Linked DNA regions of Alligator mississippiensis. The protein of the gene in region 2 interacts with the protein of the main gene of each other region in a pairwise test. Links are inferred from orthologs where the notes say so. Each region holds a gene or a part of one and is shown on either strand. Other genes may lie near its edges.

What was found.
Region 1: the proteins of KLHL12 (region 2) and TBC1D10C interact in binary tests that used the Homo sapiens proteins (3 or more experiments, as listed by UniProt). The two-hybrid records come from large-scale screens. The link is inferred for Alligator mississippiensis from reciprocal best matches to the Homo sapiens genes KLHL12 and TBC1D10C.
Region 3: the proteins of KLHL12 (region 2) and BAG6 interact in binary tests that used the Homo sapiens proteins (3 or more experiments, as listed by UniProt). The two-hybrid records come from large-scale screens. The link is inferred for Alligator mississippiensis from reciprocal best matches to the Homo sapiens genes KLHL12 and BAG6.
Region 4: the proteins of KLHL12 (region 2) and PDGFRB interact in binary tests that used the Homo sapiens proteins (3 or more experiments, as listed by UniProt). The two-hybrid records come from large-scale screens. The link is inferred for Alligator mississippiensis from reciprocal best matches to the Homo sapiens genes KLHL12 and PDGFRB.

Annotation. Positions count from the first base shown.
Region 1 is NC_081825.1:176,231,148-176,239,067, reverse strand, and holds the start of TBC1D10C (carabin), read right to left. Parts: upstream 3,017-7,920; 5' UTR 2,930-3,016; intron 2,397-2,929; 5' UTR 825-2,396; intron 187-824; 5' UTR 172-186; coding exon 1-171. Other genes in the region: PPP1CA (serine/threonine-protein phosphatase PP1-alpha catalytic subunit), read left to right, coding at 3,108-3,162, 3,439-3,570, 4,136-4,366, 4,922-5,026, 5,250-5,473, 5,705-5,839, 6,214-6,324.
Region 2 is NC_081837.1:33,121,345-33,128,293, forward strand, and holds the start of KLHL12 (kelch-like protein 12), read right to left. Parts: upstream 3,017-6,949; 5' UTR 2,927-3,016; intron 2,433-2,926; 5' UTR 2,236-2,432; coding exon 2,053-2,235; intron 1-2,052. UniProt on the Homo sapiens protein: Substrate-specific adapter of a BCR (BTB-CUL3-RBX1) E3 ubiquitin ligase complex that acts as a negative regulator of Wnt signaling pathway and ER-Golgi transport.
Region 3 is NC_081834.1:58,568,954-58,576,736, reverse strand, and holds the start of BAG6 (large proline-rich protein BAG6), read left to right. Parts: upstream 1-4,768; 5' UTR 4,769-4,850; intron 4,851-5,163; exon of another isoform or gene 5,164-5,252; intron 5,253-7,783. UniProt on the Homo sapiens protein: ATP-independent molecular chaperone preventing the aggregation of misfolded and hydrophobic patches-containing proteins.
Region 4 is NC_081832.1:75,044,854-75,052,384, forward strand, and holds the start of PDGFRB (platelet-derived growth factor receptor beta), read right to left. Parts: upstream 3,005-7,531; 5' UTR 2,827-3,004; intron 1-2,826. UniProt on the Homo sapiens protein: Tyrosine-protein kinase that acts as a cell-surface receptor for homodimeric PDGFB and PDGFD and for heterodimers formed by PDGFA and PDGFB, and plays an essential role in the regulation of embryonic development, cell proliferation, survival, differentiation, chemotaxis and migration.

The DNA.
Region 1 (7,920 bases), on a different chromosome or scaffold from region 2:
GAAGCCATAGCGATCAGTCTGGCGGTATGGGGGAACCCCATTGAACTCAGAGTCAGAGCCTAGTGAGCTGGAGTCCTCATGGTGCTCCAGGGCCAAGCTGAAGGCATCCGACAGGTCCTCCAGGGTGCTGTGGCTGGAGGAGTCAGCAGATGACATGGTGCTGGTCGCCATGCCCACGAGAGCACCCTGCAGGAGGGAGAGAGGGCCACAGTGAGTGTGGAGCAGGACAGCCCAGGACCAAGCACCCAAAAGAGACCCTCACATAGGCTCTCACCACAGCCCACCCCACTCTCTCCCCAAAGGAACTATCCACACCCCACCTCCTAAGCCTCCCCCTCGCCCCCCTAGGCCCTGCCCACCTATGCCCCTGCACCTCACCCCTCCAGACCTGCCTGTCCACAGCTCACACCCTCTTCCCTTCCTAGGTCTGTCCATTACAGGGCCTCCTTCCCCTATCACTTTAGTCTTTCTGTTTGGGGTGTTGCAGCCTCTTACCCACAGTGTCTACCCTGGGCGCCATTCCCCATGGGGTCTTCTTGCACAGCATCCCATGCCTTGTGCCCTCTCTGGGTCCGCCCATTTCCCCCAGCACCCCAGCACAGGACCCCATCTATGTGTGTTCAGTGTGTATGGGACATGCTGGGGCTGTCTTGCTGGCCATGCAGCATGTGTCCGACCCCTCACCCATGCAGGCTCCCCCACATCTATTGGCAAGCCCTCATCTCTAAATCTCCCTACACTCAGTGCTTGGGGAGTTTCTCAGAACATCCCCTCGCGTCTGTCCAGACACCCTGTGCTCCAGTCTTCCCCAGGATCCCACTCACCTTCCTTGGCCTCTAACTCGTGCCCTGCGCTGGGCTTGGGGGGCTTTCCTGATGCAGGATGCTGTGTCCGTGTGTCTGTCCCTTGCTGGCACCTCAGCCCCGGCGTGCGCCTTGCAAGCTGATTTCCTTCCCACAAGTCATTTCCTCCTGCACCTGATACTGCTGAGGCGGCAGGCAGTGTGTGTGTGGGGCGCAGGGGCCCATGGGAGAGAGCACGCAGGGAGGGGGCAGGTCCCCTAGAGAGGCAGTGCATGGTGTGGGCAACCGTCCTAGGGGGGGACACATGGCACAGGATGGTGGCAGGCACCCTGGGGAGTGCATGAGGAGGGCAAGGTCCCAGGAGTAAGCAGCCAGTGGGCCTGGGACTCGAGGCAGAGGGCACTCACTCTTTCCTTCCACCTGCTGACTGAGGCAGTACTGGAGTGACTGGGAGCTCCTCCCACAGCTATCACCCCCTACATGGCACTGTGCCAGGGGTGCAAGGCAGACAGCGTCACAGGGGGTTGTATGGTGGTGATGGCCTTAAGATCATGAGCCAGGCATTGACATGGGGTGCTGAGGGTGGTGCTGAGCCCCCATGGCAGTGTTGGATACTAGCAGTGGTGGGCAGTGCCTGCAGTCATTGCCAAGCAGTGGTGTGGGGGTGGGAGCCTCCTGCTGGGCACTGGCACTGTCTGACCCCTAGTGACACTGGGTGGCAGCCCTAGGCATGGGTGGATCTAGGATTTTGAAAAGTAGGGTACAGGTGGTGTGGCACATTGTCACATACAACACAACACTCTTTTTCTCCAACTAAAGGGAAACTAGAAGCTTTACTAATATGCTACGGGGCTAGTATGACAGTATTCAATTTGAGATCCAAGCAAAAGTAAACAGGGTATAACTGCTGGAATGTGCACTGATTTCCTAGATGATAGGAAACTTTTATCTTTAAAAAAGCACAGTAAATTTGACAAAACACAGTCATAGTCAAAAGGTATCTCATCAGTCACAAAGCCATCACAATTCAATCAACCCAAGTCCAGCATTCCTGAGCTTCTTGACAGTGCCTCCAGTACCTCACTGTCAATCACCTGAGGTAGTATGACCACACAGAGGTTAAAGTTTTTTGGCTAGAGCGGAAGAGTCTGCGAGGCTGTGATCCAGAAGAAAGAGGTGACTAGGCCTCTTCTGGATTAAGATCCAATGTAGTCCCTGCACTGGTCTGCTGCCGGGGCCGAGATCACTTTTGAATGGCAGTGTGCAATGGTGGGTGCATACCTGTGCAATGCACTGAGGACAGGACACCTTATGAGAGTCCACTATAGCCTCCCAGTGGGATGATCTTGGCTACACACCTACTTTATAGAAATGGTGGACACCTCCTAAGGGCAAGCGAGACTCGGGGACATCTGAACCCCAAGACCTCTGGGCTTGGGCCTGTACGTAGGATGCCAGCCAATGGATTTGGGGGTATCTGAAGCCTCAGGCTGAAGAGTCTGGGATGGAGGATACAGTGGTAGCGCCACATGGATTTGAATGACTGAGTTCGGCTCAATTGATAGGCTTTGGAACTGATTTGGCAAATTCAACCTGAAATATGAAATTAAAAAAAATTAAAAAGAGAGAGAGAGGCAACCAGGCAGCAACATTGCAGAGCAGTGCTGTAGCAATGAAGTTTGGTGCCCGGGGCAAAGCCCACAGCGGCAGTTTGCCTTTGCCCTGCGCACACATCTGGGGGGCACACGCCTCCCACCCCAATGCTTGCCCGGGAGTGAACGCAGCGGCGAGAGCCATCCTCCCTCCATCCCCCCCAAAATGAGCCACTTGCAGCTCCGTCCCACTCCCCGCCCCGGGTGAGCAGCACCTGTCAGTGCCCCTTCACTTTGGTGCCCAGGGCGGTTGCCCTGCTCACCCCCCGCCCCCCTTGCCCCAGAGGATGGGCTGGGGCGCAGGGTGGCCAGCTGGTTGTCCCCTGCCCTCTCTTGATACGAAACTGGACGCCTTTACGTCCTCTATAGAAAACTCGAGGACATAGAGGCGTCGGGTTTCGTATCAAGAGAGGACAGAAGTGTCCTCTACGGCGGCCACGGGGGAGCCCGGACCACTATGACCCCTGCACTCACACGACCCGCCGGCTGGCTGCAAGGACACCCCCAGGCCGCAGCGGGTGCTGCGCAGCGGGGCGGGGCGCGAGGCCTGGCGGCTCGGGGACCCAGCCCCGCCCCGCCCCGCCCCGCCCGCAGATGGGGCGGGGCGGGGCGGAGGCAGCAGGCGGGGGAGCGCAGGCCGGGCCGGGCAGCCATGGCGGACGGCGAGAAGCTCAACCTCGACTCCATCATCGGCCGCCTGCTGGAAGGTGCCGCGGGGCCCGGCCGGGGAATTGAGGCAGGGCGCGAGGGGCGGCCCCCTTGGGGCTCGCCTGAGCCCGCGGGGCGGGGGGGCACGTGCTGCAGGCGCCGGGATGGGCCTGGGGCGGGCGGCAGGGCTGCGTGTGCACATGCATTCGGGTGGGCGTGGGTGCTCACGCGCGTGGGTGGGTGGGCGCCTGCATGTGTCCGTGCGTGCGGGGGCGGGGAGGCGCTGCCCCCCCCCCCCCCCCGGTGACCCGCCCCCGTGGGCCGCCCCGCTGCAGTGCAGGGCTCTCGGCCGGGCAAGAACGTGCAGCTGACGGAGAACGAGATCCGTGGCCTGTGCCTCAAGTCGCGGGAGATCTTCCTGAGCCAGCCCATCCTGCTGGAGCTCGAGGCGCCGCTCAAGATCTGCGGTGAGCCCCAGGGCCCACCGCCACCCTTGTCCACGCATCTTGTCCCCCAGCCCCAGCCTTAGGGCAGTGGGTTCCCCTGCGGGAGGTTGCAGCGTGTCCTGGCTGGTGTTCGCAGGGATCGGAGCGGTCCCACCTGCACCTTACTCTCCATTGCTCCCCCCAGTCCAGCCCTAAGGGTGGAAGGTCCCCCTGCGAGAGGTCCTGGGGGTCTCTTGCTGAGGTGGGCTGGGTGTGGGGATTGGAGCAGCCCCCCCACCCCCACACACACACTTCTTTGTCCCCTATTGCCACCCTCACCCCATTTGTGGGGGTGGTGGGTTCCCCTGTGGGAGGTCTTGGCAGGTCTTAGGAATCCCTTGTTGATGCTGGCAGGGTAGGGGGGTCAGAGTGGTCCCCTGGCTCCGGCTGCAATCTGGGGGATTAGGGGAGGAGGATGCGGGATCTCTGGGCAGGGCTGGTAGGGACAGCATAGGTTCCCTGCTGGGCTGGGGGTCTCTGGGTAGCTGGTAGGGAGGTTGGAGAAGGTCTGTGTACTGAGGGTGCCATTCCCCCCTGCACTCTCCAGGTGACATCCATGGGCAGTACTACGATCTACTGCGGCTCTTCGAGTACGGGGGCTTCCCACCTGAGAGCAACTACCTCTTCCTGGGTGACTACGTGGACCGGGGCAAGCAGTCATTGGAGACCATCTGCCTTCTGCTGGCCTACAAGATTAAGTACCCTGAGAACTTCTTCCTGCTGCGCGGCAACCACGAGTGCGCCAGCATAAATCGCATCTATGGTTTCTACGACGAATGTGAGTGTGATTTCACCCCCCTCCCCCTGCCCCTATCTACCTGGACGCATGACTGTTCCCATTTGTGTCTGAGCCTGGGCCGTGCTGCGAGTATGCAAGCATCAACTGCATTTGAGTGCTAATGACCCTGGGCCCCCACTATTGCAACCTCTGCCTGCCTCCAGGTGTGAGCATACACCTAACTGCAAATGTGCAAACATCAACCACGCCTGTGCCTCATACTCGCATCCCTGCAGTTGAGGGTATCAGCTGCATCTCTGTCTTGTGCACCAAATTTCTTACCCTACCACACTCCCAGTCACAAGGGTGCACTCCCCAGCTGCAAGCATGTGGGCATGTGCTCTGGGGGCAGCTGATGTGGTAAGTGTGGTGCCTTCCAACTATGAGGGGGCTGCTTGTCCCATCTCCTATGGTGGCCCAAACCATGTGACTCTCTGACCTGGGTCTCCCTAGAAGGGAGTGTGCACCCCGGGAAAGGCAGATACTCTTAGGTGGTGGGAGCAGAAGGGGCTGCTGCTGTGGTGAGGCTCCCATCCCAGATATTGTGCTTTGCAGGCAAGAGGCGCTACAACATCAAGCTCTGGAAGACATTCACTGACTGCTTCAACTGCTTACCCATTGCTGCTATTGTGGACGAGAAGATTTTCTGCTGCCATGGAGGTGGACAGTGCCCAGGCCTCTAGACCTTGTGATCGGGAGGGGGAGAGGGAGTCCTTTCCCTTATGAGGCACTGCTGGGGTGGGGTTTGGGGGGAGAGGCTCCGCAGGGCTGTGTAGGGGTAGAGGGTTGCTGTGGGGGGGTCACTGGGGATGCTCTCCAGCAGATCAGCACCACCCCCTGCTGGGGTATGATGTCTCACAGCCTTATCCCCCTTTCTTCCCAGGGCTGTCCCCTGACCTGCAATCAATGGAGCAGATCCGGCGGATCATGCGCCCCACGGATGTGCCAGACCAGGGCCTGCTGTGTGACTTGCTCTGGTCCGATCCTGACAAGGACGTGCAGGGCTGGGGCGAGAACGACCGTGGCGTCTCCTTCACCTTTGGCGCTGAGGTTGTGGCCAAATTCCTGCACAAACACGATCTGGACCTCATCTGCCGGGCACACCAGGTACCCTGTACCCTGAGATAGAGCCATATTAGGGGAACTCAGGGGTGGGCTAGCAAGGGGTTGCGGGTCAGAAGTGAAGAGCAGAGCTGTGAAGAGAGCCTGTGGTTGGGATGGCAGAGAGCTATAGCGGAGGAGGCAGAGCCAGGGCTCCTGTGTGGGTTCCCTGCATCTGGCAGAGGGAGGGCTAAGTTGAGTCCTGGTGCCAAGCCCTTCGTTGTCCTTCTGCCTTAGGTGGTGGAGGATGGTTATGAGTTCTTTGCCAAGCGCCAGCTGGTGACACTCTTCTCAGCCCCCAACTACTGTGGCGAGTTCGACAATGCAGGTGCCATGATGAGCGTGGATGAGACCCTCATGTGCTCCTTCCAGGTGAGCCTCAGGCCAGGGCTCTTCTTCCCCACCCCTCCCTGGCAACCATGGCAATGAGCCAAGCTCTCACCCTACGGACACAGGCTCAGAGCTGGGTAAGGGTTGAATTTCCCTTCCCCTGACCCTGCAAGCATCTGCCTGTCTCCTGTAGAAAACCTTGATGAGGGAGGAGTTGGGTCTTGGAGTGGGGTTTCAAGAGACTCCCAGGGGCTCTGAACCCTGAATACTAACCCTGCTGCTTGTGATTTGGGGGAGGGCAGTTGTCCCCCCCACCCAGGCTGGAGATGCTGTCCTCTAGCCAGTGCCTCAGTCTGTTCTCGGGGTCTGGGGTACAACAAACTATGCCCTCTCCTTGACTCGATTCTCTTCCCCAGATCCTGAAGCCAGCTGACAAGAATAAGGGCAAATATGGGCAGTTCAGTGGCCTGAACCCTGGTGGGCGCCCAGTCACACCCCCGCGCAACTCGGCCAAGGCCAAGAAGTAGTGGCTGCTGCTGGGGAGCACTCTTTGCTGTGCCTGCTCCGCCAGCTCTGCCCACCATGGCTATGCTGTCCAGGTTCATGTCGTCTGGGGGTGCCCGGTAGAGCTGAACCAATCCCTTTTTTTTAAGAAGTAAACTATCCCTCTGGGAGTTGATACCAAAAATCCTGCTCTGTGGGGGAGGGGGCTGGGAGGGCCTCTGCTGGGAGGGGGAACAGGAATTTTTTTTTTTTTTTTTTTTTGGATAGTCCTTTTTTGCCAACTCGGCCCCCGTCTCTCCCATCTCCATCCAATGCTCAGTTTTTTGAATAAACGTTTAACAGAAATTCTTAATCCATGGCCTTTGCCTGGTTTAGTTTTCAAGCCAGTGAGTGGAGGAAGGAAGCATCTAGCTTTCACTTCCAGATCAAAGATCATTAGATGCCACCATCTGCTGCCTTTGTTTCCCATTATCCCCATGCTGGGGGGGGGGGCAGCTGGGTCTTGAGTGTTCTTGTGGGGTCTTCCTACCCTCACCTGTCTATGAAGTAGAGGTGTATAAACATTTAGCTGCTGCTGGGAAGGGCCTAGCTGCTGTATGCCACAGGACCAGGGACTGAGAGCCAGAAGGTATGCTTTGTGCCCTGTGGCCCAGCTATGGGGTATGGGACTTGAAGAGGCCACTAATTTCTGCCCTGTACTGTGGAGGGACCTCAAGAGCCTGAAGGCACTGGTCATGCAGTAGGAAAGGGACAGTCTGGGGGCTCTCTGCTTCAGGGTGGCACCTGGACATGGACATCTCGAGTCTCAGCTCATGTAAATCTTGTCACCCTACAAATGAAAGGGAAGGGAAGAATGCTGGTCTAGGAGCATAGGCCTTGCATTTGGGGGAATGGGTCAGGCTCCCCCTATAGCCAGAGCTGCTACTGGGATTCTTGCTGGCTGTGTTTGGGGCCAGGGGTTCCCCAGCCTGGCAGGTGTAGGCATGCAGAACTCTGGCCTCTCTGCTGCTGGCCCAGCCCAGAGCATCACAGTACCTCAATTCAGAGATCTCTGAATAGAGGGGGAATGATATGAGAAAGCAAGCAGCACATAGCTGTGTCTAGGGGAGACCTTCTGCAGGGGGTGGTGTATGTGTGAGAATCTTGTACTTTGGGTCGCACTAAGCTTCAGTGGTGGGGGCTCTGCAGAGCATGCACAACCCAGCCCTTGAACTCTGCTTCAGTTGTCGCACAAGCCTGGCTCTGTGCCTGGCCCTCTGCATGCCAAGGCAATTCTCAGGGGAATTAACAGCCCAGCCTTGAGCCAGGCTTAGCCCAGGGGGACAGCGCCAGTTGGCTGCCTTGGGACAGCCTCCCCTGGCACTCACAGCCTTGGCCAGGGAGCAGGGGGCCAGTCCAGGGAGAGCTGCAGAGCAGGGGCAGGAACCCTGAGCCTGAGATAACTGGCCTGGTCCCTTTGGAGGGGCAGGGATCAGGCCTGGAATATGTGGAAAACTGCTGTGGGGGCCGGTCGCCCCTAGCCCCCATTTAGTGGGATTTGGTTGTGGGGAGGATCTGACTGGCCTGACATTACACTCATACCCTTCAAAAGGGACTCTAAGCCACTGCTCCTTCCACCT
Region 2 (6,949 bases):
ACCCATAGCTTTAGATTTACCCATCTGAATCAATGTTAGCTGTAGCTCTGCCAAAGTCATTTTACTACTTAGAACAGGGATGGGGAAAATGGCAGATCCAGCCAACAGCTGGACTCCATTTCCCAGCAGCCTCTGCCAACAAGAGGCCAGGGTTTCCATAGAGACCGGCCCCAGCAGCACTGGCAGGGTGCATGGGCTGGGCAGGGAGGCTGCTGGGGCCAGTCTCCATAGAAACCCTGGCCCCACGCTGTCATGGCCCTGCTGCTCCTAGGGTCTCCATGGAAACCAGTTGCAGCAATGTGGCCAGGGGCTCCTAGGAAATGGAGTCTGCTGCAGGCCTGATCTAGCCCGGACTTTGCCCGTCCCCGACCTGGAACAAGAACATGTCTTTAGTGTAAACTGCAAATATCAAACTCACCCAGCCCTGTGGGCCAGATGAGTAAAGCAGGGCTGGTCTGCTAGGGACCAGTGGTTTTCAACCTGTGGTCTGCAGACTATATCTAGGAGGTCCGTGAAAGATGACTATGATCAAAAGCAAGTGAATACCACACTTAAAATTCAAAAAGGTCCACGCCTCCATTCAAAATTTCCAAAGGGGTTCAACAAATGAAAAAAGGTTGAAAACCACTGTGCTAGACAGATTTGGCCCAAAGACCAGCCCACACACAGATGCAGCATAGGTGCTAGATCTGGCACCGCTAGTGTAGGCTAATACAAATAATAAAACAACAGTTTCTAATCAAGAGAGCACTACACTGGGGTTCAGGAGATCAATGTTATATTCTTGGTTCTGCTACTGACCTGTTCTATGATATTGAATGAGATGCAACTCATCTCTGGACTGGTTGCCTACCCAGCTCTCTCTCACTCTTATTTATTTAGGTTGCAAACTCTCTAGGCATTGTTTCTGGTTATACAGCACTTAACATAATAGGATAATAATCCCATTTGAAATCTTTAATTACTATTATGATGTAAATACCATGATCAGAAAGACTGTTGGATGACGAGACCACTGGGGGAATGTTTTTCGTTTGAAAGCTTTGAGTCCTTAGGCTTTCAATAACCTGAGTAGTCAGAGCCAGATCCTATTCTACCTATAAGAATATACATGATCTTATTGTACTCTCCTTCTGAAAAACAGTTAATGCAAGAAGTGGATGGATCCTCTTCCTGCTCACAGTTTCTTTTGACTTAGTCTGTCATCTTAGCCTTCAGACCATTACAAGTGCGCACAGTAACATTTTTCTGGCACTTGAACCAGGTAGAATTGGATAACACTTGGTTATATAATACACATAATAAAATCTAACCTTTCAAGATGAAAGCAAAATCCTTTCTAGAACAAAGAACATGCAAGAGCTGGATGAAGCATACACTACATTTTGGTACAGCAGGAGGCTGACGGCCATGAAACAGTAAAAACTGCCAGTCGCCACTTCTGCAAGGCACTGCTAAACTTCAGCAAGCTTGCTAAAAAGCCGCTAGCTAGTTAAAGCTGAGCAAAGCAGCTGCAAGCTTTGTCAAAGTAGAAACTTTGTCAAGGACAATAAGAAGATGCTCAGAAAGAGAAAAAAAGTGTGATAAGAAAAGTATAACAGCCTTGGTGTGTCTATGCAGACAGAGTTTTAGAAAGATAACCAATAGTGAAAACTCAATTAGGCAAATAATCTATAAAATGGCCAGTAGTCTTGGCAACAGTCATGGTAAAAATAATAAATACGCAACTAAAAAGGCATAAAAAAAAGTTTGGGAACAAGAGGCCGCTGGATTACTAAACCGCTGGGTGACTAGACTATGCCCCAATGAGACCCTGAATTGTCTAATATCAAGGATACGGAGGAAGACTCGCTTGCAAAGTAACCAGCGCATGTCTAGGTATAGGAGCATGTGCTATCTGCTGAATAAACCTACATTAGCAAGGTGGAAACTCCTGTCTCTTGAGCACTTTCTCAACAACCCCCTGGATCCCCAGTCGGAGGTTTTGAGACACCAGCCACATTCGTGACAGACACGGATCCAAAGTCCTTTTGCGACAACTGCCTGGCCTACCTCGCTGGTGAACATTGCGCAGAAGTAATCACTGCAAGCAGCCAACACAATCCGATGGGCTGGGAAATCCTTCTGCTCCACGCGCAGGGTCACGTCACAGAGAGTATTGCTCTTCCGCAGGGAATTCATTGCGTTGAGGATGGACTTGGCGTGCGAGTTAGTCATGATATCTTTCGGAGCCATAGCGTCAGCAGCATAGCACGGAGAGCGGGAGGCGCCTCAGCTCCCTGCGAGCGGAGAGAGCAGAGCCTTACTTCACCGGGAGCGCGGGGAGCCTCCGACACGGAGGCCGCAAACAGACGCCACTTGTCGAGGGGCGAACCGTTTCATCCGGGCTCAACGTGCCGCCATTCGGACGCCCGCGCCTGCTGTCACAGGAGCTTCATAGGACAAAAGGGCACGAACAGTTAATGCCAGGACAGCGTCTGAAGGCTCATGCCAGGTTTCTGGCACAAAAGTGACAGCTAGGGCGACCATCGTAGAGGATAGTTCGGTTGTCCTCTATTGATACGAAACCGGACGCCGTTATGTCCTCGATTTTTCTCTTGAAATGGACATAAGGCGCTGGGTTTCCTATCAAGAGAGGGCAGAGTAGCAGAAAACCGGACTGTCCTCTAGGATGGCCACCCGAGCCTGTGTGGAAAGGTCCATGTCGGCACAGGCCAATCCCGGGATCTCTGCTCCGGGATAAACCCAGGCACCAGCTGTCCCGGGACAAAGGCAGCACCTGCTCCTGGCTCAGGAGGCCGGCGGGGACCAGTCTGGGCGGCTAGAGCCACCGCGGGCGGGGCAACGGGCACCTCTCCACCGGGTGAGCACAGCCCCCTCCCCTGACGGACACACCCCGCCCGCCGGCCCCGCCCCGCGGACACACCTCAGCCCGCACCGCGCCCGCAGCGGGGAACGGGCCCGGCGCCCGCTGATGGCGTCACAGCCCTGCAGCCGTTCGCGCCACGTGATCTGGGCTCCTGCAACGCGCGCTGATGGCGTCACGCGCGCCGCACCGCCCCTTGCTCCACGTGACCCCCGAGCGGGCGCGTGGTCTTGTTGCCGCGGTTACTTCACGTCAGGGCCCGCCCCCTCTTCCAGCTTCAGGTTTTTGCACTGCGCAGGCGCGTCCGAACTCCGTGCCGCACGTGCCTTTTGTCTCGGTGGCCGAGCGCGGCGGGGGTCCTGCCCGTGCCCATCGTGTACTACTGTTCCAGGTGGCCCCGGCTCTAACGCGTGTCCGGGCCGGAGGGATGCTGAGAGCCCCGAGTCTACACCTGCACCCTCCGTGCGACTGGAGCCAGAGCCGGGCATCTGTCTGCTGAGCACCCCCTGGCCCCTGCACAGGCATGCTTTTGCAAACACTACTCGCAGGGTTCTTGGTTGTCGCCGTGTTGGTCCAAGGACACAGGCAGGCAAGGCTCTTGGGTAGATGCGATCTCTTTCATTAGACCACCTGAGTTGTTGGAGGAAAGTTCTTGGCAAACTTTGGGGCGCAAACGCCCTTCTTCAGGCACCAAAAGTCTCTGCTGCTCCGCGACTCCCGAGGAACGAGAGACGCTAGAAGTGTGGCAGGAGGTCGGTGAGAAGGTAAATGGGTAGAGATTAGAAAGACCAAGAGTAAAGCAGAGAGGGGAGGGGAAGAGAGCAGGGGGAACAAAGGCTAAAGGGAGACATTACAGAGACAGACTGTGAAAAAGCCTCTCTTCACTGCCTGACATCTGATTCAACAGGTGCCTGCCTGACCTGACCTCTTTTCTCCCCTCCCCTCCTTTTCTTTCCTTTGTCTCCCTGATTTCCTACTATTTCCTTCTTCTTTGAGAGCCTCTTTCTTACCCTGTTTTATTACCTCTGTAATGTTTTGCTTTGGCCTTTCCCCCCCCTGCTCTTTTCCCCCTCCCCTTTTGTTTCTCCACTCTAGGTATTTATATACATCCTCTCGCACTGTGAGCTTCTCTCATTCCTGTTGCCCTGATCTCCAGCTATTTCCTTTTTCAAAGACGGCCTCTTTTCCACCTTGTAGTCTATCACTGTAATGTCTCCCTTTAGCCTTTCTCCTCCTCTCTCTGCTTTACCTTTTGTCTTTCTAATTTCTCCCTATTTACGTTCTCACTGACATCCTGCCACACTTTTAGCTTCTCTCATTCCTTGGAGTCTCAGACCAGCAGAGGCTCCCTGTGCCTGAAGAAGGGTAGCTGCGCCCAAAAGCTTGCTAAGAACTTTTTTTCCAACTACTCAGTTGGTTTAATAAAAGATATCACATCTACCCAACAAACCTTGCCTGCCTAGTCGCTCTAATAAAAGATATTCCTCTGCCATGAGTTTTGATTCCTTTCGTCTCTAGACCAATGCAGTTACAACCTGGACACCTGACCCCTATGGAGTCTGAGCCAACAGGATCCCAACCTACAGACGTAGTTTACGGAGAACATTATATATGGAGCATCTTTACCACAGCGCACGTCCCTATAGTACAGTTCACAACAGCAGCCTTAAAGGGACTCTTGCCAACAACACTTCTACTGGAAACTCATTTAATGGCAGCACTTCAACATTAGCTCAGAACATAATGAAGGAAATTCTAATCTGAGTTCTTAATTCCAAAACACAAATGACACCAGTTGCTCATTTAAGGCTTTATCTTGCAAGATGCTGAGAATATTCAGCTCTGCGTATAAGCTGCAGAAAAGCTGCTAGAGCTGAAGAATGTTTAATATGAAGAGCCCACAGTATTTAATAGAGATTGTCATTATGGGGGATCACAAGCATTAAAGCAGATGGTGAGACTTTGGGAGAGGAATGTGCCCTTTTAGGTCAAAGCTGGATAAATAGTGGTGTCTTCACAGCATAGAAACCACTGAGAGGGTATAGGAACCGTGTTTGTTCCACATGCTAGAAGTTGCTATGCCCCGGGCTCTGGTCCTACAGGTGGCTGTTTGCACAGAACTGAGCTTTTTACCCTGCTATTCAGATTGCCTAGTTCAGCCCCAGATCCAAAAGTAGGTGTCCCACAAAACTCAAAATCCTTGATCCAATTGGTTTAAATAAAAGTACAGAAAAACAGACCTCCACCAGGTAGAACTGTACTGTGGGGGGTGGCAGAGCTGAGATTCAGCTAGGGTTACCCATCCTGCTTTATCCTTGGGCCCCATATCTTGCAAGGGAGATGCCTGTGGGTGCATGCACATGTGAGAGAAATTGGAGCTCAGCAGTAGTGGACCAGGGACCATGTGCTGCTTTGCCTAGGTTTGCCACCAGGAGGATTTGAGAAGACAGAGCTGCATGCAAGCCACCAGCACATTGAACAAATACTCTGGAGCCTGGTCTTTTTGTGGAAGGTTCCCCACCACCATCTGAGTTCAGGGAAGAGGGAACTGGTGTGATGAGCCAACCAGAAACACAGCTGCCAAACTTGAAGAAAGCAAGCTAAGACAGTGCCACATCTGGGCTTGCTTCTTCCCCCCATGCATGCCGTGCTGTCTCACCCTGAGAGTGGAGCTCTTCAGGTTCTCAGACACGGTACAGTCACCCCTTATTGGAAAGTTATCTGCCATAACAGCTGGCAGGAGCATAGACCAGCACCAGCAGCAAGGACCTTTGAAGGAATGGGACATCCTCATTGCCCCATGGTCCCTGTCCACTTCCCAACCGTGATTTGGGGTGTTAGCTTCCTTCTACTTATCAGCTTTAAATGCCCTGTCTCTCCAGAGCCCCCATGGTTCCTCCACATTAAGTTTCATGCCCCTGTCCTGCCATGCCTCCTCCTGCATAACCCCCTCTGCTGTCCTTGGACTAGCGCCGCACAGCAACCCAGAGGCAGGATTGCAATCTGGCTAGCTTGAGGCCAATAACAGTGGAGCCACAAAAGCACAGGTATAAGTTGGGGGCTGTAAAACCTGACCTGAACCATGGGGAAGAAAGGTCTAGCATTTCTGTCAAAACTGCAAAAGAGGCATGTAGTCACATGGAAAATTAACCCTGTACAATCTTAGTGGATACAAAGTGTCCCCTAGCTTTACCTCAGTGTAGCTGGCTAAAATCAACCCTATGCCCCTTGAATAGAACTGAAGCTACTCCCTAACGGTCCCAGAATGCTGTGGTGACCAGATTATAGCAGTTTATGATATCATTTTGTATAGTTTAGATCAGTTTGATAGTAGGGATGCAAAAATATAGCCCAAGATAAGTTTGCCCTAAACAAACACTTGAGAGCCGCTAGAGGACAGTGCCCTACTGCTAGTTTTGAAGATTTTACTTTCTCCCCAGCCAACCTGCAAAACTAGTTCATCGGGAAGGGTAAAAAGCCAGAAGTGCATATAACAAAGAAATTTGGGCAGGCCAGAGAGGATCTCTTGCTCTCTGCAGTTGTTATACACAGTATATGATTAGGGAGTCAGGATGAAGACTTAACGGGCATCCTCTGTCTGAAGAAACTACATCTGTCTAGGTTACCATCAAGAGATCTGGATGGTGGTACATCACTGGTCACATAAAGTGTATAAGTATTTAGATTGTTCTTGTTCTTAAAATTCCTTTTTTCCCCCTAAATGTTTTGTTACTATTGCAAAATACTAAATAATGCTTTGGTTTGAAATGGCTACCTGGTCTGTATACTCGCTGCTACTCTCAAGCTCCCAGAGGAAAGCATCACAGGCATTGAACCCAGTCAGGCCTGTTATATGAGCGTAGTCAAGACACTGGCTTTGGGAGTGCAGAGTCCAGTTTAACAGCTGGAGGATATCATGATTTCACGCTAGAAAAGATAAAAAGGCATAAGATGTGACCCATCTTGCACAGATGGCCCTGGTTTCGGGGCATCCTCAGAAACCAGCAGGAGTGAATATATGTAGATACCCTTAGAATCTAAGGATATCTGCAGGGGTATAGGTTGTAGCCATGCAGGGGTATG
Region 3 (7,783 bases), on a different chromosome or scaffold from region 2:
TGCCCTGGGGACCCCCACTCTGGGACTCCCTGTGTTGGGAATGGCTCAGTTCTCCATCAGCTGCCGCAGGGATCAGAGACCAAACACTGCAGCACTGACTCTTATCTTGCCCCAGCTCCTGGGCAGTTTCAGGCGTTTGGGTAAGTAAGGACAGCAGGATTTGTCCCAGTGTCTGCACTGGGTCATGCTGCAGTGACTCTGCTGTGTGAATTATCACCTCTCTCTTTGCTGCTTGATTCCAGAGTTCAGAAGAGCCCGAGGACACACAGGTGAGTGACCCTGACCCCATATCAGTGACCCCAGAGCCCTCCTTGGAGAACTTTGCTTGCTACAGCCACTGCTCCCACCATCCTGGTGACCTGAAGGTGGGCTTTGTGACCAGCAAGATTCAGTGCATCCCTGCTGCATTCACCCCTCACTGCTCCCAGCCCAGCACACTCTGTACGCCCTGGGCCCTGGACAGGGCTGGTCTCTGAGCCATGTGAGATCCCAGGCCCAGGGTGTTTTGGGATTCTCAGTCGATCTCCCTGGCACTGAGCCTTGTGCAGCAGCTTCTTCTGCTACGGTTGGTCTATTCTGTCCATGCAGTGCCCACACGCTTCCCAGAGCCCAGCAAGTGTCCTGGGCCTGCCTTGGGAGACCTGTGCCTGGGTCTGGGAAGATCGATAGGTCCATCCTTAAGGGGCTTTGATGCCCCAGGTCAGCAATGTGGGGTGGGTGAACCCTGCTCTTGTGAATGGGGCAGGCTCTGCAGGGAGACCTGGTGTTTCCCGCTCTTCACTGTGCAATACTTGGAGGGCAGAAGACCACTGTCCCAGCAGTGCCCCTGGTCTTGTCTGCATGGGGTGTTCTTGGCCCAGTGCATGACTCCAGTGCAAACCCCTGGAACAGATGCACTGCCTGGGAGTGAATGGAGATTTGCCCCTGGGGCAGCTGAGCCCACGGAGAGGGGGCAGTCAGTGGGGAAATGCCCCTAGCCCCCTCAGTAACCCGCACTCAGCAGTGGGCTCTTGTGCTTGGTTCCAGTTGTCTGGGCTGGCTCGAAAGAAGTGAGCACAGCCCAGATGCATGACCCTGCCCGGGGCTCTGTGGAGCGAGCAGTTGGCTCTGCCAGGGCTGCCCTGGCTGCAGAGCCAGCAGCACTTGGCAGACTGCAGCCAGAGGATCAGAGACAGGGCTCCTTTTATTAGACCAACTATTTATTTGGTGTAATAAAAGATATTGGATTTACCCCCAAGACCTTGTCTACCCATGTCCTTGGACCAACATGGCTACAACCAACACCCCCAAGGATGGAGAAACATTTGGCTTCCCAGACCTGAGCAGAGAAAAGGCGCCCCTTGCCGAGGGGCTGGGGTGAGCTGGGGTTCGGCCGAGGGCAGCAACCACAGGGACCTTGGTTTTGCTTTTCCAGACTGGAGGCAGGAGCCACAGTTGTGCCTCTCCCAGAACAGCCGTAGGAAGGAGTGGGGTTACAAGCATCTGTCTCTGACCCTGCTCTTGTAGCCACCCTGGGACTGAGGCCAGTCTCACAAGGGAGGTGGCCTGCAACTGGGCCCCCTGTTCCCCCACAGCCCGGCCCCCATCCACTCCTCAGCCCCGGGAGCAGGGCCTGCCTCTCCCCTGTCAGGCCCCAACTCCAGCTCCCCAAAACGAGCACCTGCCCCGACACACAGACCCCATGCAGGCAGCCCTGGGTTGGGCCGCGCTTGCTGCCTCGTTCAGGGCAGGAAACCCCCATGGCCCAGACCCGCATGCAGGGGTGGCCGTGTGGACAGGCTCCACTTGCAGCCAAGCTGCCTGCCCCAGTGAGGTGTGGGGGGTGCAGGGTGGGCAGCGGGGCTAGCCCCAGTCCTGGCCCTGCCTGCAGGTCCTCCTGGGCACAGCAGAGGTGGCTCCTGTGTGAGCACCTGGGGCACAGGAGCAGCAGCTCCTCTGCCCTTATGTGGGGGCAGGTATGTGGGCTGGGGGCACTTAGGGAGTTGGGGAGATCGGGGGGTGGGGGTGCTGCTGGCCCAGCTCACCCAAGCTCCCTCCAGCACAAGGAATTGTCCCCCCTGCCCTAGACACTCCCTGACTGCAGGGACGGTGGGCTGGGCAGAGGTTTCTTGTATCCAGATGAGTGGCAGCAAGCAGAAGTGGTTGGGGTTGTGGGAAGGGTTTTGCTCATGTGGGGCTTGGCAGGAGGCCAGGCTCAGCCACATGTGAACAGCCGCTTCTTTGGACAGCACTTACTAGGAAACTGGGACCCAGAGGGTTCTCTTGGCAGAGCTTCAGGGCCTGGCGTGTGCTTGCGGGGCCTTTGCTTGGCACCTGTCCTGGGGACAGTGGGTCTTGCCTTGGCACAGGGGAAAGCCCAGAGGTGAAGCTCATTCCTCTCCCTGGCCGGGGATTCCAAACCCATTTAATAGATTCATAGACTGTAAGGCTGGAAGGGACCTCGGAAGATCATCGGGTCTAGCTCCCTGCACAAGGCACTCTGGAGCCAGGGGCGCCATTCACGGGGGAGGGAGGACAGCAACTCTCCCAGGGGGGGAAGGACAGGGAGATGAGCAGGGTCAAGGGAGGGGGAGCATGGAGGACCCACCTTCCAAGCGAAGGAACTGCTTCTTTCAGCCTGGTCCTGAAAAGCACAAGCATGAGGAGGCCCCTGGAGCCCGGCCATTGCTCTGCTGGATGCTGAGGCCACAGAGCGTGACCCTAAGGAAGGGCAGTTACCACTGTATAGGGAAGGGCCCAGGAGGGGAGTGGGTGCAGAAACTCCTCAGTATCACAGCCGAGGGGCTGGGCTCCTCCAAAGGCTGCTTGGAAGGAGACACTGCTCTGGGATGAGGCCATGGGATAGGACAGCCATGACCAGGAGGAGCAGGGCCAGCGCCTGCCCACTCTGCTGAGTTGGCACATGTTTAAAAAAAATCTGGATTTTTTTTGCTTGGATCACTTGATCCCAGCTGACTTCCTGCCTATGGTGAGGGGGGGGGGAGGGGGGGGGCTGGACTTGATGATCTTATGAGGTCCCTTCCAGCCCTTACTGTCTATTCATCTATGACTCCCAGCTGGCTGGTGAAGGCCAGGGTACTGGGACACTGGTAGAACAGCTCACTGGAGAGCAGGACCTGCAGCTCAGCCACTCGCTGCTATGTGAGCTGACACACACACAGTGGCTCTCAACCAAGGTGCCATGGCAGGTGTTGGGGGTGCCACACCGTGTTAATGTTCTTACGTATGCAGATACGAATTGCAAGATTAACCCAGAGTTTTCAGCTAGAAATCCAGTGTTCAGATTCATAGGTGTTAGGGTCCGAAGGGACTTCAGTACATCATTGAGTCCAACCCCCTGCCCTGGGCAGGAAAGAGCGCTGGAGTTAGATGACCGCAGTCAGGTGCATGTCGAGCCTCCTCTTAAAGACCCCCAAGGTAGGGGAGAGACATGTTAGAGATGTCTTGCCTGCTGCGGCCTTTCTGAGTTCTTTGCAACAGAAGAATTGCTCTATTCTTTTTCCAGACTCAAAAAGGGAATTAAACCAGAGCTGGCCTTTTCTGAGGGGCGCCTTGAGTCTAATGAGAGATGCCTTGAGTGTAAAAAGGTGGAGAACCAGTGCAGCCCCAGACCCTGCAGAGACTGTGCATGCAGGGAGGGCTGGTGTTAACTATTCCCCTGCCCTGGCTCGCTCTGCTTGGGCCCCTGTCTCATACACTGGCAGCTCTGCCCTGCCCTGCCCTGCCCCTGCAGTCAGGAAAAGATAAACTTATTTGTAGCTGCTGTTCCCCAGGAGCAGTGGAGCTGGAGCCATGGCTGTAGGGAAGCTGGCAGGGAGGTTCCAGGCAGAGGTGACTTGCTCCATGTGTTTGGACTAATTTATGGATCCGGTGATGACTGACTGTGGGCACAGCTCCCCACGGTGGGGCAGCTCTCCCAGAGGCAGGGTTCACGTGTGGGACCTTACCTCAGCCCTGCATTTCCTTCCTACGGTTCATCTTTCCGTAGGTCGGGAGTACGTGCTCTGGCTCTCAGGGTGCCAGTTAAGCAGTCGCCACTTTCTCCACCCTGGAAGTGAATGAGGCACCGGCCGGCAGGCCCGACTCCTGTGTGCGGGAGGTCCCATGGGTGATGGGGGTGTCTCCTGGGATGCTCCCCATCATCTCCCTTGGCCGACGCCGGCTTGAAAGTCTCTGCACGAAACACTTCTTCCATTCTTAGATCCTGGGACAAACCCAGGCCTGGTGAAAGCCCAAGACCAACAGGACACGCAGCCCTTTGAGGCGATCTGTGCCTGTGGGTTTTACGCCGGGACCCAGGGCCTTACAGATCCCGAACCTCTGGTCAGGATTTCAGCCCCTTTGGTTCGGGGTGTGATCTTTTCTCTAGATCAGTCTGTCTAACGTATCTCACGTACATCTGCTGACAGTCCAGGGCCAAGAGCAGCACGGGGCAAATTCATGCCCCACCTCCCTGGGGGCACAGCCCTCATCACCCCGCCCCCGCGCGGGTAGCCACTGACATCTGGCGGGAAGGGGGCACCGAGCCCTGCGCATGCGCGACGGGAGCCGGGGGCTCAAGCTCTGCCCCATGAGAACTTCAGCGTGTGGGCGCCTACAGCACTGCCTGATCCAAACCGGCGTGAGACGCGGCCGCCCCGCGGACTCTTCTCACACGCGGCCGCACACCGACATGCCCCTCAGAGGGCGGGGGATGGGGGGGGGCCCGTCGCAGCGGTGACGGGGCGCATCAGGCGCGCCGCTAGCAGCCCCATTTGGCCCCGAGTCTTGAGGCCCCCGTCCCCACGTCACGCATGCGCAGAGCGGTGTGCGCCGCAGAGCAGCCGGTGCGGGGAGTCTCTCGCAAGCAGGTTCGGACTTGGGCTTGGTGGGGACCCGGAAGCGGCCCGTGGGGACCGGAAGTGAACCCCGTTTCATTACCAGGGACACCGGAAGTCACCCAATTTGAGATAAGAAACCGGAAGTCATCCTTTTTGACCGAAAGTCGCCCCCTTTTGACCGGAAGCCCCATCTCATTCCTCACGCGCCCCCTCTTTTTGAGTGGGTGGGACCGGAAGTGCTACCTTCTCTCTGGCCGGAGCCCCCAGCACGGAACCGCCTTTTCTTTCCGTAAAGTTGCCCGATTTTTTTATGGACGGGAAGTGGTTCTGCGCCTACCGGAAGTGACGTCCTGGGCAGGAAAGGGGGCGTGGCCAGGTGTCTGTTGGGCCTCTCCCCTTCCTTTCCCCCCCTCCCAGCCCTAGGAGCTCTCGGTGGGTACCTGCGCGTGTGGGGGAGGGGTGATGGGGGTCTCGGTCCCCCCCCCCCCGCCCCGCGGAGGCGGGGTTATACCCTCCCTGATCCCTCTGTGGGCAGGTATAGCCGGCCTTCTGCCCCCGCCCCCCCTGCAAGCCTGGTGAGGAATGGGGTAATTCGGGTCGGGGGGGTGCTGACCCGTCCCTCCCCCTTCCCAGGGGGGAACCAGGAGGGTCGGTGGGAGGTTCAAGGTCAGTCGCTATAATGATAATATAAGGAGAAGTGTGTATTTAGGCATCATGCCCAGTGTCTTTAATGTGTTGGCAGCCTGCTGGGCTGTGCCAGCGCTCCTGCTGGGGCTCAGCCCCGGGGTCCTGGCTAGAGGGTCTTCCCCTTTGTTCGGGGTCGAGCCGACGCTGTGTCAGGAAGGAATATTCCCCCCGATCGGGCTGGTGGGGACTGGGCGTGGGGGGGGGGGGTGTCAGCCTCTGTAGTGGGGGGTGCGGCCCGTGCCTGGGATCTCTTGAGTGATTGTTAACAACCTGTTGCAGACAGAGGACGTTGCTGCAGTCCCCCTGCTTTCCCTGTGGCAGGTTCGGGTGTGGTCTGTGCTGTCAGGGTTGGTGGTCGTCTTACGTTTACCTGAGTTTACCTGATGGATTTGTCTGAGCTGGTCGCGCCAGGGCTGACCCTGCCTCAGGCTGGGGGTTGGACTAGAGGTGACAACTGGAGGTCCCTTCCTGCCCCACTTCTCATGATTATGCCCCCTGGAGACTCCTTCCCGTTCTGCATCCCTAGGATTTCTGTGATTCTCTGAATTATCCAAACCCTCTTTGTTATGCGTAGGAAGACTGTGGGCCTGGGCTCCTTGCTGTACACGAGGGACTGTAGGCCCATGCAGAAACTGCTAGCCCTGTCTCCACTTCGACCTACTAGGTGCTTCAGAACAAAATTGGTGGGAGAATCAACGAGAAAAAACCAGGGTGGGAGTTGGGGGGGAGGGTGGAGGCCTACAGCCTATAAAATTAGGCTGTAGGCTAATTTTGAGGGCTCCAAGGGGGCACTAGCCCTTGAAGAAGCCCAAGAAGCCAGTGGGGGTCACCCGGTGATGCTCTGCCTGGAGATGTGTCCTAGTGAGGACCAGGAAGACGGCCCCACAGTCATCAGGGTTCCTCCTACAGGCATGTCTGTTATGTGCGTGGAGTTGTGGCCTGGGCCCACCAAGGGAACCACACGCTTCCCTTAATTAGGGCAGTTGATAGGGCAATGGTTTTCAAACTGGGGGGCGTGAAGGAATGTTGGGGGAGAGAGGGGCAGGCAAGACGTTTGCAATGAGCCGGCGCTGCTGCAGCCTCACAGGGATGCAGGGGCAGGACGCCCCAGACAGGCTCTGCCAGCAGGCTGCTGCGACTCTGGGAGCCTGGCATGGCAGGTGTGCAAGGTAGAACTTCAGTGGGGCCAAGGCAGGAGGCACTGGAGCTGCAGCAGGTGGAGTCTGGCCCCCCCGAACCCAGTGGCTGTTAGGCTGAGGGGCACCCTGTGCCTGGTTGTGCTGCTTCCCTGGGTTGGGGTGGGGGCATGAACAAAACTGTAACTCAAAGACAGGCTTTTCTCGAAGTTTACTGCAATAGGGGCACAATAATTGATTCCTTGGCACAACTAATGCAGAAAGAGGGACAGAAGTAGGGGTTGGAGGTTGACAACAAGTGCTCCAAGGCGGGGTAGGGGAATTAAACAGGCCTTTTTGCTTTGCCAAGAGGATTGTGGGCCAGTGCCTACCAAGGAAACTTTAAGTCCCCCTTAAGAAAGGAGGGGGAATTATACAGAAGGGAAGGATTTCTTAGGGGGCCTCGTAAGAGACCATGAGAGGTCTGTCTTCCTTATGATCCTATAAGTGATAACGAGTTAATACATGAAGCAAGGATTTCCCTAGGGTGATCTCTCTTATTGCACCGACTGCAGGGTGGAGTTTGATAGGCTTTCGAAAGCAAAACTTCCTAGTTTGGGTTTGAGCAGGAAAACATTTCAGCATTTGCTGCCTTGGCTTTATATCTGTCAGTTTCAAGCCCTGAAACTGACTAGTGCTTCCCAAACTTTTCCTTGGTATGACTCCATTTATGGCCCCATTTCCTCAACATGCCGCCCCTGCCCCAAACCCACAGGTCCCCACCCCCATGACCCCATCTGCTGATTTTGTGACCCTACTTGGGGTCAGAACCCACAGTTTGGGAACCACTGGACTAGGCCCTCTTGATAGCAAGGCTTTTAATGCTGCCTTTGAAACTGACTTGATCTGTCAGTATGCAAGCCACACACCAGTCCTGAAACTGACTAGATTTTGCCAATATCAGGGCTTTTGATGTGTCCCCTGAAACTGACTAGATCTGTCCCTATCCAAGCTGCACCTACCTGTCCTGAAACTCACTAGACTCTGCCAGGACGGTGGCTTTTAATACAGCCTGTGCAACTGACTAGATCAGTCAGTAGAAGGGTCCTAATAGGGATCTGAAACTGACTAGGCCCAGTGGATATCAGGGCTTTTGAGGGA
Region 4 (7,531 bases), on a different chromosome or scaffold from region 2:
TCCAAGGAGGAAGGGTCCAGGTTCTCTAGCTGAGGATGTTTCTCCGACATCCAGCCTAAATCTTCTGTGTTGCAAATAAAATGATTTCTTTTTGTCATACATTCATAGACATTCGGGCTGGACCCCGGAGGATCATCGAGTCCAGCCCCTGGCCCAAAGGGCAGGAAGTCAGCCGGAGTCACAGGATCCCAGCAAGATAAGCATCCAAAATGGAAATCCCAGACGACAGCTCACTGTCCTCTCTACAACCTTTTACATAAGAAGGAGACTTCTCATATCAGTCCTCTCTTCTCTAGACTAAAGGAGCCTAGTTCCTTCACCCTTTTTTTTTAACACGTTCGTAAACCTCTCATCCCTCCTGCTGCTTCCCGCCGGACTCCCTCTTGCTTGCCTGCACCTTGTGTATCGTCTCAGATTCACCACCCGATGACAGTTCAGGCAGGAGACCTTTCTTTGCACACCATCCTCCTTTCCCATGGCTCTGGGGACACGTGGGAAACCGGGGCACTGCTTGCTGCTCTTCCCAGCCTTCCCCCTGCCCTGCCAGCTCTCACTTAGTACCTGGACATAGGGATAGTTGACAGGCGGGGGGACGGGGACTTCTCGTGTGGCAGCTGCTCGGTGATAGCTCTGCATGCTCAGACCTACCCCGAGAGGGAGCCAAGCTGTGTGGTCCCTTACCCTGCGTGGAAGAGAAGTCACCATGGCTGAGCTCCCACTTCTGGTGGGATAAGTGTGTGCACACAGGCAATGAGCGCAGAGCAGGTGAGGTCTGCAGAAACCCCTGGTTTCCACCCACTGAGCATGTGGGACCACGACTCCCTGCGGTGGCATGACTGGGGGGGTCTCTGATTTTGGATACAGACCTCAGCAAGGGACTCGGATGTCAGAGAGATGCTCAGCACTCAGGGTATAACAGGCTGGTTTTCCCAGGCGCAGGGCTGGAAGGGACCTCCCGAAGTCAGTGTAGTCCAACCCCCTGCTTCAGGCAGGATCACCCCTATCCAAAGCATCCCATAAAAACCATAATCTACGCTCTACACAAGACAACCATCAACAACTATCTTCAGCTGAGTGCCCCCAAATTGGAGGCACTCAAACACACCCACCTCCTCGGAAAACTTTGGCCTCAGTTTCTCACTCTCACAACTGCAAATGAAACACGGATTGTGCAGCGCTGCGCCCGTCCTAGGGCGGGTGACCGCCGAATGCCGTCCATTCAGCTCCCCAGAGGATTACCCTCAGTCCTTAAGGACCAAATTCAAACGGCAATACCATTCACCCCTTCTCTGCTGCCCACCTGAGCAGAAACACCCCACTGCTTAGCACAGGCCACCCACGCTGGGATGCTGGATGGGTGCTGGGTGCAAGAAGAGCCTTTTCCTCGCCCATTGAGCTGGGAAATGCTTCCACTCAAGGTTTGTCTTTTCAAACAGCAAAGGTGCAAAGCTCCCCTGCGAAAAGTCCCGGCTGGATGAATAATCCCCTCCAAGAGGAAGCTGGACAGTGCATCCGGGCCCCTTCCCGTGAGTGGGCTCAGAAGCACTAACTCATTCAAGGTCCCATCGCATGGCTCAGCCTCCTTTGGGGCTCTTGCCCCGACTTGATGGGCTTTTGTGGCCTAAAATTCACCAGAACACAGCTTTCCATTGAGGTTGATGGCTGTGAAAGAAACCTTCCACTTGGCCATGCTGCACGTATCCAGGCTACTCGGGAAGGAGCTCTCTCAGGTCCCGGCAGCAGCGAGAGCTCTGCTCCAGCTGCTTCCCCCCAAGATTACCCTGAGCCTCAAGCTGCAGCTCCACCAGAGACCCGAGCTGCCCCGTTCCCCTCCATGGGGACGTTATCCGCTAAGGCTCACCTGGACGCTGCAAGGGGCAAATTTCAAGTCAGGGAGGCGCGGTTCTGTGCCTCCCTGGCTAATGCAAGCACAGCAGTCGTTCACGTGAAGGCGCATGCCGAGGGCCACATGAAACAAGGATGGACGTAGCCGGGGTTGCAAAGGTCCCACTGAATGATGCCATGGACGTCCTGGGCAGAGGGACGCCTGTCTGCACAGGGAAGCCGTCCTCACGTTGCAGTCAGTGGGACCCAAACACAAGCTTAAATTCTTCCTAGAGTGAGCACCCGAGGCTTGCCAGCATTCACTTCCCTCCAGGGCCCCTGCAGACCTGTCACTGCCCTCGTGGGGATCTGCTGTGGGGCCAGCGGAGAGACCAAAGAGCACAACTGAGGAGCTCTCCCATGGGTGCCACCCTGCTCTGGGGAGCAAGCACAGCCCCGCCTTCCCACGGGGCCCTGACTAAGTGCCTTGGGGGTCAGCGCAGTACTCGCCAGCCGGGCACCCTCAGAGCTGCTTTCTAAGAGGCAGAGCCTGGGCCAAGGCACCGATGCCCAGCACAGAGTCCCAGTGCCCCCCCAGCTTTGCCCTCAGCCCCCACTGCACCTGGCACAGCGGGGGGCACTGGGACAGGAGCAGGAAGCGGGGCAGAAACCCCTTGGCTTCCCCCATCACCCCAGCCCTGCAGAGGGGAGGTTGGCTCTCACCCCGGGGTGGCACCCTGCTGCCTCTGTCCCACTCGGGGCTGCCTGCCCCTTCTGCCCAGCTCTGGGTGCAACCCCCCAGCCCCCTCCCAGGGTCACCCACTTCCCCCTATACAGCCAACTCCCTGGGGACTTGCATCACAGTCCCTGGGGACTTGCATTGGAGCCTGGGCAGACAGCAGGGTCCCTTTCCGCATTGCAATCCCAAACCTGGGGAGCTGCATGGCCGCAGGGATTTAACTGCAAGGGCTGGGGGGCGAGGGGGCACTCAAACGCCCTTACCTGGAGCCTGTGCGGCCGGAGCCCTTCCCCGTCTGGCCAGGGCTGCCCCCGAGCTCTGTCCTGCCTGGAGCATCCAGCGCAAGGGGCAGGTCCGAGCCGCCTCCCGGGGAGCAGCCCCTGCCCTGCCCTGCCTCCCTGGGCTGGGCTGGCTCTAGCTCTGCTCTCCGCGTCTGCTTTCAATTCTGGCTCTTTTCCCTGCCTCCTCCTTTTTTCTTTTTCCCTGGCTTCCAGCCCCCCTCCCATTTTTCCCCTTTCTCAGGATATGAGGGGATGTTTAGAGAATCCGCTGCCCACGCCAGCAGCTGACTCATGTTTTTATTCGAGAAGGCCTGTGCTCAACTGACTCCACACATTCCCTTCGGATCTTGGCTGGAGCTGGCACCGTGCAGGCTGAGCCCCTGGCAGCAGGCTGGGCCGGCCGCCGTGTTTCTCCAGCAGCCACCCGGCCCCTTAGGTGTGCAGCCCCTTGCGCGCGGGCTCGACAGCCCACCACAACGACTCCTTTGCTGGCACAGCCCAGTGAGGAAGGAGAGTACATTCTTCCAGGGTCAGGGACCAGGGCTAGCAAAGGAGTCCGAGTTGCCGGTGGGGCGCGGGTTAGCCCCCCGGCACCGGGAACCCATGTGGACACTGGATTCAAACAAAGGCCCTTTGGATCTGAGTCTGGATGTGCACCCTGAGCTTTGTGAAGGGAGATGAATTTGCAAAAATGCGGGGGGTTTCCCTGAGCGCCCCGGCGCAGGGGTCTGTCTACATGGGGATTAACCTATTGCACCTCTCTGGCTCTGGCAGCTTGATGCCATATCTGGACACTTTTTTGGGTGAGTTTCTGGCTTAGTAGAACCTTTTGTGGGTGAGTTTCTGGCTCCCTGGAGCTGGTTTCAGGCCCTGGGTTCACCAGGATATCCTGGGAAAGCCCAGACAATAAAAACATGTTGCAAGCATGTGACGACCCACTGAGCCGACCTGGGAAATGCTCACCTGGGTCCAGCATAGGTTAATGGCCCCTGGGCCCAGCGGGTCTTTGGCATGTCGTTACCCCGGGGAAATCACCCTGTGCTCTGCCTTAGGTTTCTCTATCTGGAAACAACTCTTCTCCATGTCTCAAACTGGACGCCAAACGACGCTCTGAATCCCGAAGGAGCGTCCTGGCGGAGAACCCCACAAAGCTGTGCTGGCAACGCTGTCCCAGGACATCTCCCCGGGCCAAAAAGCCCTTTCTAAAGCATCCCCTGCCCTTCTCCAAACATATTTAGCAGACTGGGTACAGGCTGCGTGCCCCTTAGGCGAAGGGCAGCTTGGAGGCACCATTTTACTTTGCTAGGTGGATGGTTTCCAGTCGAGCCGGCGGATGAGTCGCCAGCCCCGGTGGTTTCAGAAGTTGCTGCTTATCTCTAGTTATCTCAGTATCTTCTTCCTCTCCTTGATGAAAAACCAAGTGGAGACGGCTTATCCAGAGACTGCTGATGGGAGAGGGGGAGGAACTGTCCATGGGAAATCCCGAGCTGTTACCATACAATGGGGCTGTGCTTGCACAGCATCCTTCGGTGCCCGTGATAGAAGGGAGCAAGAGGTGTGAGGTGCAGGGTTAGCCCAGGTTAGGGGCAGCCGTGCGGGAGGCTCTTGTGGAGGTGAATGGGCTGGTGGCAAGCCCGAAATGTGGCATGGAGCAGCGTCGAGGGACCTGCACAGGCTGCCCTGCTATTTGCACTGGGGATTCATTCCTTTTGGAGGCAAGGAAAGGCCCTCGGAGCACCCGCACTGGGTGCAGAGAAGGGGCTGCAGAGACAGACAAGTCCTGGGGGCCTTTCTGAGATGGGAAGCTGCTCGCGGCATGCTGAGTGGTGGGGGGAGAGGCTGGGAGGTACGGACCCAGGGCCCTCGGGGTGCAGGCACAGTCTCAAACCTCTCCCCAGCTGCTGCAGGCCAACCCTGTGGGGTGGCAGGACGGAAAGGGTGGGGGCTGTTCGTCTTTAGCCACAAGCCGTTTGACGGGACAGCTGCCCGGTACCAAGACCCTGGGGTCACCTCCGTCCTGTGGGCAGGCTGGGGTCTCCAAGGTGTGCCCCCACAGCCATCCCTTGCAAAGGCAGCAGGGTCTTGAGGCCCCTCTGGAGGAGGGCAGGGGGCTGTTACCCTGGGGCTTTGGGAAGGGCTTGCCATCGTAGCCATCGTAGAGGAAAAAGTCGTGCTAAGGAGGGCCTGGTGCATGCTGCAAACTGCTCCGAGTCCTTGTTGCTGCATCCCTCGTGCCTGTCCAAGGTCACGTTGTTTAGGAACTCAGGGTGTTTGGGCTACGGGCGCTGCGGGACAGGACACGGGGAGCCTGGAGTAAGCCACGTATGTGGGAGGAGAGAGGCTGCCTGCTCTCGCTAGCTCCCTTTGCTCCGGTGTAAGAGACCTCCGGCCAGCCGTGATGCTCAGAGGGATTAGTTACGTCCGAGCTCTGGGGTTTGCTGCAGGGATGCTGAGCTCAGCAGTGCCCACAGGGCCTAAGGTGCTCCTGGCCTCTGCCTGCACCCGTTCTAGATGCCAGAGCTGCACCTGGGCCTTGCCAGTCCCCCGGCTCCTTAAATAAAGGGCGATTCCTCTCCGCTCCGCCAAGCTGCACCCGCAGAGAGCTGTCCCGGGTGATTCTCCTCCCCATGAGGTGGGGGTCTAAGCCTCAGGCCGCGAGACAGATGTCAGAGGCCCTATCACTAGCCAGGGGGGCACGGAGCAGCATATGCTCACCCTGTAAGTCATGCCAGCATCTGCTGCTCATTTAGCCAGTGGGGATGAACAGCAGGGCGGCAGGGGCACTAGCACCCATGGGGCTGGCACAGTGGGAACAAGCACCCGGCATGGCTTCACAGGGGCCATTTCGAGCCCTGGCTGAGGGCAGGGGCTCAAGGAGAGCTGCCGCCAGGTGCCTGGGGCTGCTACCTGGACTGTTTTGCCTGGGTGGGCATTGATGCAACATGAGGCCCTGATGCACGAGCTCTTGTCACCGTGCAGAGACACTGGTTCCCGCGGCTGTGGTTATCGCAGCAAGTGGTGGGCCCCAGGGGTGCGGGGAGAAGGCATCCCAGAGGGGCCAACCCAGAGCCCCCCAGTGCGACGGCAGTGGGCAGCTCTGGTCCCCACCTCTCCTGCCGTCCTGGCGGCTAATGCTGCCCCCAGGCCAGGGGCACAGGAGCCTTGTGCCCATTCTGCTCTGGGACGATCCCATGAGTCTGCAGGGAGATGGGGGCTGAACTGCATCCCTGACTCTCCTCCAGGCTTTGGGGGGCTCCCCCCAGAGCTGGCCCTTCCTGCCTGGTGCCTTGGTGGGAGCAGCTGCACGCTCCAGTGTGAATGCGAATAGCAGCACTTCCGGTCACCCCAGTCATTCCAGCACATCTGGAGCCACTTAGGCACTGGAATGATTAACCCCTTGTGAGCTCTGCTGCTGCCATGCCAGGCCAGCCGAAGAGGGAGTGCAACCCCCGTGAGCCCGGAGCACTCCTGGAGGGTGCTGGCAGAGCTGGAGGGCAGGGCACAGGGTGGGCAGGCCCTACTCCACCCTGGCCTGTGCAGCAAAGACCGTAGGCATCCCATCAGCCGGGAGGAAGGTCTAGGAGCCACCACTGTGTTCTGGCACATTGCTCCATGAGGCACAGCGGAGCAGAGTCCCACCTATGCCTCGGTCTCTGGTCCCAGAGCAGGGGCTCAGCTCTGTCCTGCCCTACACAGGAGGGCTCCCAGGATGGCCAGCGATGGCCAGAAGTAAAGGAAAGACAGAGCTGCAGTGGATACAGAGGATCCAAGCCACTGGGCTGGCCTGGGCGAGTGTCCAAGCCAGATACCGGTCCAGGATACTTCGGGTTCCAGTTCTAGGTGCAGAGAAGCATCTGCAGATGTGTGCACACCTATGCATGTGTGCATGATGCATGTGTGGCGAGGTACATCACCTCCCCTGGGCCATGGCTTTGCATGTTGCATGTGCCCCTTGCAAAGGCTGGGTGCATACCTGGGCACTGTCCGGACAACTCCTGTGCCCGTTACAGCTGTGCCCAGTGCCCTCCCATGGCGAGCTGGGGTAGTGCCATGCAGGCAGGCTCCACAGTGCCCAGCTCTTGCATTTCCATCCCCGGACTCTCCCTATTTAGCGTTTGCAGCAGCCTCTAGGCCTTGCCAGACAGAGCGGGAGGACAGGAGCTCGGAAACCGGGATGCAGAAAAAAAAGAGGCTGGTTTAAAAAGAAAAAAGGAATGCTTTTTTTTTTAAGCCCCTTCTTTTGAGGCTGTGCTGGTGCTGTCCCATGACTGATGCAGCATGGTGAGCCAAAGGCTGCCTGCTCTGGGCCCCACAATGGTGCCAGAGGCAGCAGGGGGAGGTTACTAGTAGGGGGTAAAGCAGGTGGGACAGGAGGGGCAGGGGGCCCAGGAAAGCGAGGGGTCTCCTTTGGCTTCCAGCAGGGCAGGGCACTGCTTGCAGCCTGGGTCCAGGCCTCTGGCCATCTGGGATGTCCCCTCGGCCTCTCTCCTTCCGCCTCCTCTGAGAGCGCTGCCAAGGCAAGCAGTCAGTGTGGTAGAGACGATATCTTTTATTAGCCCAACTAGACAGTTGCAAAAACCCCAACTTCCTTTATTTGCAAGCTTTCAGGCACATGCGCCCTTCCTCGGGCATAGGAGAATGCAAAGACTGTAACGTTTCTCCCAGGGAGAAACAACAATTCGTATCG